2 linked regions of the Mytilus edulis genome follow. The protein of the gene in region 2 interacts with the protein of the main gene of each other region in a biochemical or structural test. Links are inferred from orthologs where the notes say so. Each region holds a gene or a part of one and is shown on either strand. Other genes may lie near its edges. The genes, in order: mitotic spindle assembly checkpoint protein MAD2A-like and DNA polymerase zeta catalytic subunit-like.

Evidence for each region.
Region 1: the proteins of DNA polymerase zeta catalytic subunit-like (region 2) and mitotic spindle assembly checkpoint protein MAD2A-like form a complex in vitro, tested with the Homo sapiens proteins (2 studies listed by BioGRID). The link is inferred for Mytilus edulis from reciprocal best matches to the Homo sapiens genes REV3L and MAD2L1.

The regions. Positions count from the first base shown.
Region 1 is NC_092352.1:71,758,957-71,762,894, reverse strand, and holds the start of mitotic spindle assembly checkpoint protein MAD2A-like, read left to right. Parts: upstream 1-1,509; 5' UTR 1,510-1,558; coding exon 1,559-1,628; intron 1,629-3,938. UniProt on the Homo sapiens protein: Component of the spindle-assembly checkpoint that prevents the onset of anaphase until all chromosomes are properly aligned at the metaphase plate.
Region 2 is NC_092353.1:64,606,912-64,610,849, forward strand, and holds the start of DNA polymerase zeta catalytic subunit-like, read right to left. Parts: upstream 2,349-3,938; 5' UTR 2,242-2,348; intron 1-2,241. UniProt on the Homo sapiens protein: Catalytic subunit of the DNA polymerase zeta complex, an error-prone polymerase specialized in translesion DNA synthesis (TLS). Lacks an intrinsic 3'-5' exonuclease activity and thus has no proofreading function.

The sequences.
Region 1 (3,938 bases), on a different chromosome or scaffold from region 2:
TCGTGAACTTTGTCATTTCCCGTGTACTGTAGTATTTAATTTTTATGCGACCATTCTTTACTTATAAAGATATTTATCGCTGGAATTTACTGATTGTCAGAGTCATGTAATTCTCTATGGTGGAGTTGAACAGTGTGTCGAAAAAAAAACGTCGATTAGTCATTTTGAAATTCAAATTACAGTAACACATTGCTTAGGCTGTGGATGACAATCATGACACCTTCAAAGCGACACAGGATTGAGCAAGAACGTATTAACTTCTAATTCTATTTCACTATTCCACCAAACAATCTAGAGACATTTACACTCACATGAAAAAAAGTTCCAAGGCAATATTATTTACCTACGGAAACATGTTTAACCCAAAACGCCCCAGCCAATTTTAAAATACCATAGCTGAATAATGATCCCCAGTCAGTGTAAGCTCTAGATAGTCTATATTCAAAGTCTAAGGTACGAACCATTTGATTTGAGGAGACAGTCTAAGATATTTGTGTAGAAAAAAAATAACTCTGATTTTTGCCTTGAACAAAAATTCTGGCTGTATCTGGATTGACAACAATAATCATGTCCACTGTTTTTGCTAAAAAAAAATAAAAAATTTCCAACAGAATTATTTAGCATTAAATGAACATGATGAATAAAAACGGGCATTTCTTTGGGGGCAGGGGTTTGCATGTCTGAACGGAATGTCTGTTTCGCCGAACTGATATATTAAATACTTTTTTCAAGATCAGACTGCAACCTGCCTGATGGGTGTGGCCTTTATGTCTCCATTTGTCGACCGTCATTCATAAATTCGTTGTCATTTCAGACTCATTCTTAGCCTTTGGTTGATTTGGAACCCCTCACTTCCCTTAATTTTGTTGGGTGAAACATATTAACCAAACTTTGGATAAGAAATTGCTTGTTTGTCTTTTTTAACTTGTACCGGCCGTATTGTAAATTTCATTGAATACCCCGGCGTATATCTTGTTTACAACAAGAAATCTGTGAAGTTACACGCCAGTAACCGTTTGAAAAGTACTTATTACACTTATTTTATGTTTTTAGCCCCAAAAAGGTCCCAAAAATTTTTCGCCTCGCTCCGTTCGGCCATCTTTCAAAACTTCGGCCCCCTTTCCAAAATCCTGGATCCGCCCCTGAAAATCATAATCAAAAATCAAAAAAATCAAAAGCGAAGTAATAAAAAATTAACGTCAAGTTTTGTACTTTTAAAGTTTCATCACGGATTTGTAATGTTTGACTAAACTGTGACCGGCCTTCACTTCGCAGGTCTTTTCACCCGTTTTTTATTTTAAAATCATAATTAAAATTTAAAAAAATCAAACTTTAAAAAAGCGAAATAATAAAAACTATACGTCAAAAGAGGGTATCTGTGAAGTGGAGGGTTTAGTCAGGGACTTTCTATACTAGTATAGAAAGTCCCTGGTTTAGTCAAACATTTCAAAACCTACATGTACAACTTTTTGAGTACGGAAATTCGATCAAAACTGATCCCGTCACCGAGCAGAATTGTATACATAAATTTAGCGGGAAATAGAAATATACACAAATCATGGCCGCAACAGCTACACAAAATGCAATCACATTGAAAGGATCGACAGAAATAGTTTCCGAGTTCTTTTGTAAATGTTTCTTTTAATAACAACAATTTGCATTGTTTTTACACAATGTCTATCTTTGAACTTTCAGGAACTAATGTGTTTAACCCCAGCCCCTTTTTTTTTCAGAACGCATGCCAAGTTAAATTATTATTATTGAAGTATGACTGTATGAAGTTTAAATGCAATGCCATTGGGTAGTTCGATAATCATTTATCGTATAAAAATACACATGCACCCTCTATGAAGGTCATCACGTCAAAAACAAAAGGTCAGAATTCACACCACACAGTCACACTCACACAATTATTTTGAGTAAAAACAATTTCTGGTGGCGAAATTATTCAAACACTGTAGTCTAAATAATCATGATAATTATCCAAAATATTACAATGTCTTAAAAGGTTACACATCATAGTATGACATATGACAGCTCATTTGTTTGACGGCCCATTGTTCAGAAAAATGTTAAAAATGTACATATAGACTCGTCCACTGGAAAACCCATTCATGAGTTGTCATGCGTTTTAGTTTTTGGTATCCAAATAGGAGAATTTGTTTTATCCATTAAACAAGAAAATTCAAAATTGTGACTTACTTATCTTGACCTTTTCATCCACTGTGTATCATTGGTACGCGCGTGATCAATTTTGACCTGACACAGTAAGAAAAATCTTTTGTTTCGTTTACATAATATTAATGTGTACTTCAAATACTTGTCAGAGCAGTTGGGGTTAGTCTCGCCCGATTTGATTCTGTATTCATTGAAACTCTTTTTTTGATAGGAGGCCACTGTCATGTGCGTAATAAGTATACCTGTTTCAATAATTGGCATTGACATCTTTCTTACATATGTTATTTTAAATATTTTATTCAGATAAGAAGCGTGTATGGTGTAAAGCGGACCAAATAAATCCTTCTGTACAGTGGACAGTTTATCCCCGTACACAAAAACTTTATTTTCATGTGTTTTTGATAAAAATTGCTAACGTCAAAACTGCTGACAGAACTTGTTTTGAAATGATCAATTTTCAAATTAAAAAAAAATGACAATTATTATCATCCAGTGATTAAAAAGCACCATTATTGATTATTTGACGTGTGAAGAAATATACTATAATAGTGAATAGTCGTAATCCAATAGGTTACAGACAGTTGTAGACTTCAAATACAACCTTAAAAATTACGATAGTGCAAGTCCATCAAATTTGTTGCATCAATGCAACATTATTTTATCTGATAATGGGCAAATAATAACTCAAACTTTTTAAAGTTATTTTTTATTGTTAAATATTTCACAAACAAATCCCCCCAACATTCTGTAAAGGTTTCTGGAATTTTAATTATTTTATTACAACCCATTTAGATATGTAACAGACACTGGTGCACTTTTAAATGGAAGATGTTGATTGGAAAAAACACAAAATCATATTTCCACAAATATGCAATTTTTTCGTAAATCCACGAAAATTGATACTTTCGAAAATAAAAGAATGCACAGTACACTGAATGGATAAATTTGATCTATGACACAATGTAATAAAATTAATAAAATAAATAGTGGGGTGAGATGTGAAACAAAATCAGAAAGAAAACTTTAACCTTTGACTGTGACTCATGTTAAACAAAATGCTGTTAAAATAAAATAAAGTACATCAAGTTCATGTACACAGATACAAAAATAATTTTGTCATGTTTGTTGAAAGGAAAAGAAATAATTTTGTTCATTGTATTTTCTTTATTTGAATTCTGATTTGGATTACAATAGTCCTAGCCTTACATAATGTACATTAAACTTTTATGGCAACAAGGCATGTATTGGTAGATTTAATGTGTAGTCATTATACATGTATTCTTCATTGTAATGCTGCATTCACACATAATTTGAATTTGATTCGCATTAACTAATTCCCATTAGTTTGATACGCATTCAAATCGTTTTACGTCCAAATCTAAATTCGAATTGCAATGGGGGTCAAAATTCACTTTACTGCCTGAATGACGTTAACTTTTAATTCGTATTAACAAAAACGCATTTCTAATGCGAATTGGATAATGCGATTCAACCAATTCGAATCAATTGGAATTATAATTTAAAGGAGAATGTATGAACGCAGTTACGTATCAAATTCATTTGAATTAAATGAACATGTCAACGAGGCGTATACTTCTTATGTGACTCATTTTGAGGCAAATTTTGTATTAGGTTTATTGGGTTGTAGTAAAATGTAGAAAAGGTTTATTGGCCTGTAGTAAAATGTAGAAATTCTTACAGCCCCAAATAAATTAAATTTTATAAGCATGGGTTACTGGACCTGTGTCCAAGCGTAAACT
Region 2 (3,938 bases):
TTTTAGAATTTTCCTAAGATCACTTTTGTGATTTTACTTTTTACAGAGGCTCCAGGGTACAAAAATTCAGCAAAAATTTAAACATATTTTTTTTATTTCAAATTTAACTTATTACAGTATTAGTTGTAAATTTATATTATGATATGGTACAAAAATCATTTAAATCAACCAAAAAAATCAATTCATTTTGGCCCCAGATGATTTTTAAAATGTTTATATCATTGAAAAAGCTCCAAATTATCTCCCTTTGGTGAAATAATGCCTTTTTTTGCATTAATATTGAAAATCTTTCTCAACTCAATGGTGACCTATTTTTTTTTTTCTTCATATAAGCTGTACTAAAACTAAATTATAATTGTAAAATTTTAGCAATTTTTGTAATATAGATCTTTTTTACCTTATCCATGTTTTCTGCTCCAATTAGTTCAACAGAAAAAAAGTACCTTGACAAAACTGCATACTTCTTTTGAAGGCAGATTGTGGGCTTACATGATTAAACGTAACCCCACATTTTTATTGTACTTTTCTATTAAGTATAGGATTAAGTTTATTTTTAGAAAAAAGTAGAGAAATCCTTTGTTAAAAAAAAAAAAGTTTATACCCTACATGAACCTTAAGGACAAAATCGTCTGTGTATAATAAGCAATTCACAGGGTCTCCACTTTTTTGTAAATACTCTGGCAAGTCATTTATACTTTATATATATTATATCTTTATCTCGGGATCTCCGTTTACTTAAATAAGCCAATGGCTTCTACTAACCCCTCTTCTTGGATTGTCGTAATGCAATTTCTTATGGCATAATAGTCTCATAATAATATATTTATATATATTATACTTATAAAAAAAACTTATTTAGGTGTGTGCAGTTGACATTAACATAAACATTTATTCGGGTTCCAATTGTCAACATTTAACGCAGACTTCAAATCATCCAGTTACCATGCAACACTTGTATCATATCATTTCTATCCCTACTATATTCTTTCCAAGGTTGGCAATCCCAATGAACATAATTTACTTGAATATTACAGATTAGACTAAATTGTCCCCTTGTTTACATTTAACTCTTGTCTGGATTAATTCTTAACACAAGATTTACTTGATTGATACAAAATATACATGTGTTTAATAATTATAAATTATTATACCTCACTTTAATGCCATATTTTGATTGGCTAATACGAGGGTGTTAAATTACTCTATCAAGTATATGACTGAGCTGGTGACAATATTTTTTAATGTCACCCTCTCATCCAGACCAATCAAAAATTTACATTTTAAAGAAGAATGAATTGAATTTACATCAAGTTATTAAAGACAATGAGTAATTTCTACGTTTTGGCTCAGATTCTATACACCTTATTGCTATTTCTCAGCCATTACTGGATATCTCAAAGGTTCCCGTAAAAATGTGACGTCATAATACAAAACAAATGATGCCACAATGGAAAAGTTATTGTTTTGTGATGTCAATACTTCAAGTAGGACAGATTCTAGGGTCACCCGGGAATAGCGTTAAGCTGCATCATTTGACTGTCAAAATAAAAAAATAAAACATCTTGCTTCACTTCTAATACGTGTAAGTTGTTATGTGTCATGTCATAGAAAATACTTTTAAAAAGTTCATCTGTAAAAGACAATAATGATAGGACATTCAGTATAATAAATTACATGTAAATAAACACAGAGCTGAGAGTGTGATAGCACAGGATTCAGGAATCGGAAGTTCTATCAATAAAATTCTTTAAATAATAAAATCGACTATCAATAGAGCTTCTCGTAGTTCTATCAATTAAATTCTGTAAAGTCGACTATAAATAGAGCTTCTCCTATTATTTACAGAATTTTATTGATAGAACTTCTGATTCCTGTGGTGATAGAGCAGTTTGGTACCCTTCGAAAAAGCAGTCAACATTGGCTTTGCCACGGTTGACAATGCTTTCTCGAGGTACCTCTCGGGCTACCAATCAGCTCTATCACCCCCCTCAGCTATGTGTTATTTTTATAATGAAGTACCTACTCCCGCAGATGGTAAATTTATAAACTTGATACCAGTGTCAAAGCTTTCTGAAAAATCCACAAAGCAGGCATAAGTACATATGTCACGGATTAACAGTACCGTGCATATGTCTTGGTGTGACGGTCTGCATTCTATTCAAATAAATAAACAATAGTATGAAAAATGATGCATGCTTCTGGAAATGATTTGTGTGTTGTTTAATTTATGAGATTACTGACCATCGAATGCTGATTGTGATTGTTATATGCAGCGCCATCTCGTGTCTATCCGTGTCAATGTGAAAACTTGTGGTACGTACTGAAACCCGGACCGGACCGGACCGGACTCCGGACCCGGACTTCGGTATGAAACCCGGCTCAGTAGTGATCAGTAGTTGTCAATGGTTGTGTAATCAGTGACATGTGTCCTCATTATTTCTATCTAAGTTCGATTTCAAATTCTACCAAAAATTAACTCGAAAATAAGAAGCGTATAACGAATATATATACATCCATCCTGTGTGCAGATACGATGACTATACAGGGTCCTGGGTGCACCCAGGAGGTCGGCCTGAGCGGTGTTTAGACGTTCCCATTTACAATTAACAGGGGCGTGTTCTTTTGTTCTTCAGTAATGAACCAGAAGACATTCTTTTTTTGTTTTTTTTTTCATTGGGAAGATCTTCTGGTTCTATTTCCACCTCTTCTTTTTAAATAGGTGGTTTAGACGGGAGAGGCACAAAACAAACAATTACATGGCGTCGTTTAGTCGAAATGACATTTATAAATTTATGAATGTAGATATATGAGAATGTGAGCTGTGTTATGCATGTTTTAACATTGTTAATAACACTTCCCTACAAAATGTGTTAACGAAAGGTCCAAAATATCGTGAGTCGAAATCCATCAATTGGAAATACAATTTTAAAATTTTGATGGATTCAGTCGAGAACTATGCCAGGCAATGGGATAAGCGTGAGAAGGAAGACGTAGACACTCTTTCCGAATGGATTAAGGCAGTGAGGTCGTTGATACAAATCAGAATTAAGAAACTGAATGGTTCAATCAATGCCCATGCTACGTCAATCTTTAGAGACCCTAATGTTGCAAAACACTTAACACCTTCACGACAAATATGTTGTTGTCCCCGCAGATAAAGCCCCAAACAACATCGTTTTTGTGTGTAAAACTCATTACATTGTACATTAACTGTGTAGCAGGAACAATTTTGCCTAAGATTCGGGTATGCGGACCACAGCTAATTCTAGTTTGTAAACTGATGTGTGCGGAAAACGACTGATGCCAAAAGTGATGCGCTATAATATATCTAAGTAAATGAAAACCAAAAACTGAAAACAATATATAATTTATTCAACAAAGTACAACTTTTATTATGTAAAGCCAAACGTGTAGAAATGGAGCATTAAACACTTCAAATTAACCCGTACTATAGGCATGTAGCAAATGCACTATCCTCATGAATCTTGGTTGGAATGTCCATGGTTCAACTAAATGTCAATCATCCCAGAGTTCAAATGAAGAATCTAAAACTTTTTATATAAAATATATAAATTTCTTACAGAAGGTAACCAAAGAATTTGCAACGATGCAAATATTAAACTTTATAATATAAATAAATATCTTTAACCAATGAATTAAAATAGAAAAAGCTATTTAATTTAACAAATATATCCTTAATAAGCTTCATGTAAATTAATTAACAATGAAATACATCAAATATGAAATTTAGAGTTTTACCAAAGGGAGCTAAAAATTAACTAATAACTCTGTCTGCTACAACTGCTTGATAAACGAATTAGGTATTGACAATTCACTTGGAAACCCAACATATACCCTCACGACACTTACCAAAGGAGGAATTCCTGGATAATCATAGGTCTGTTCTATGTTCCTTTGAAATTTCAACCAAAGATGAT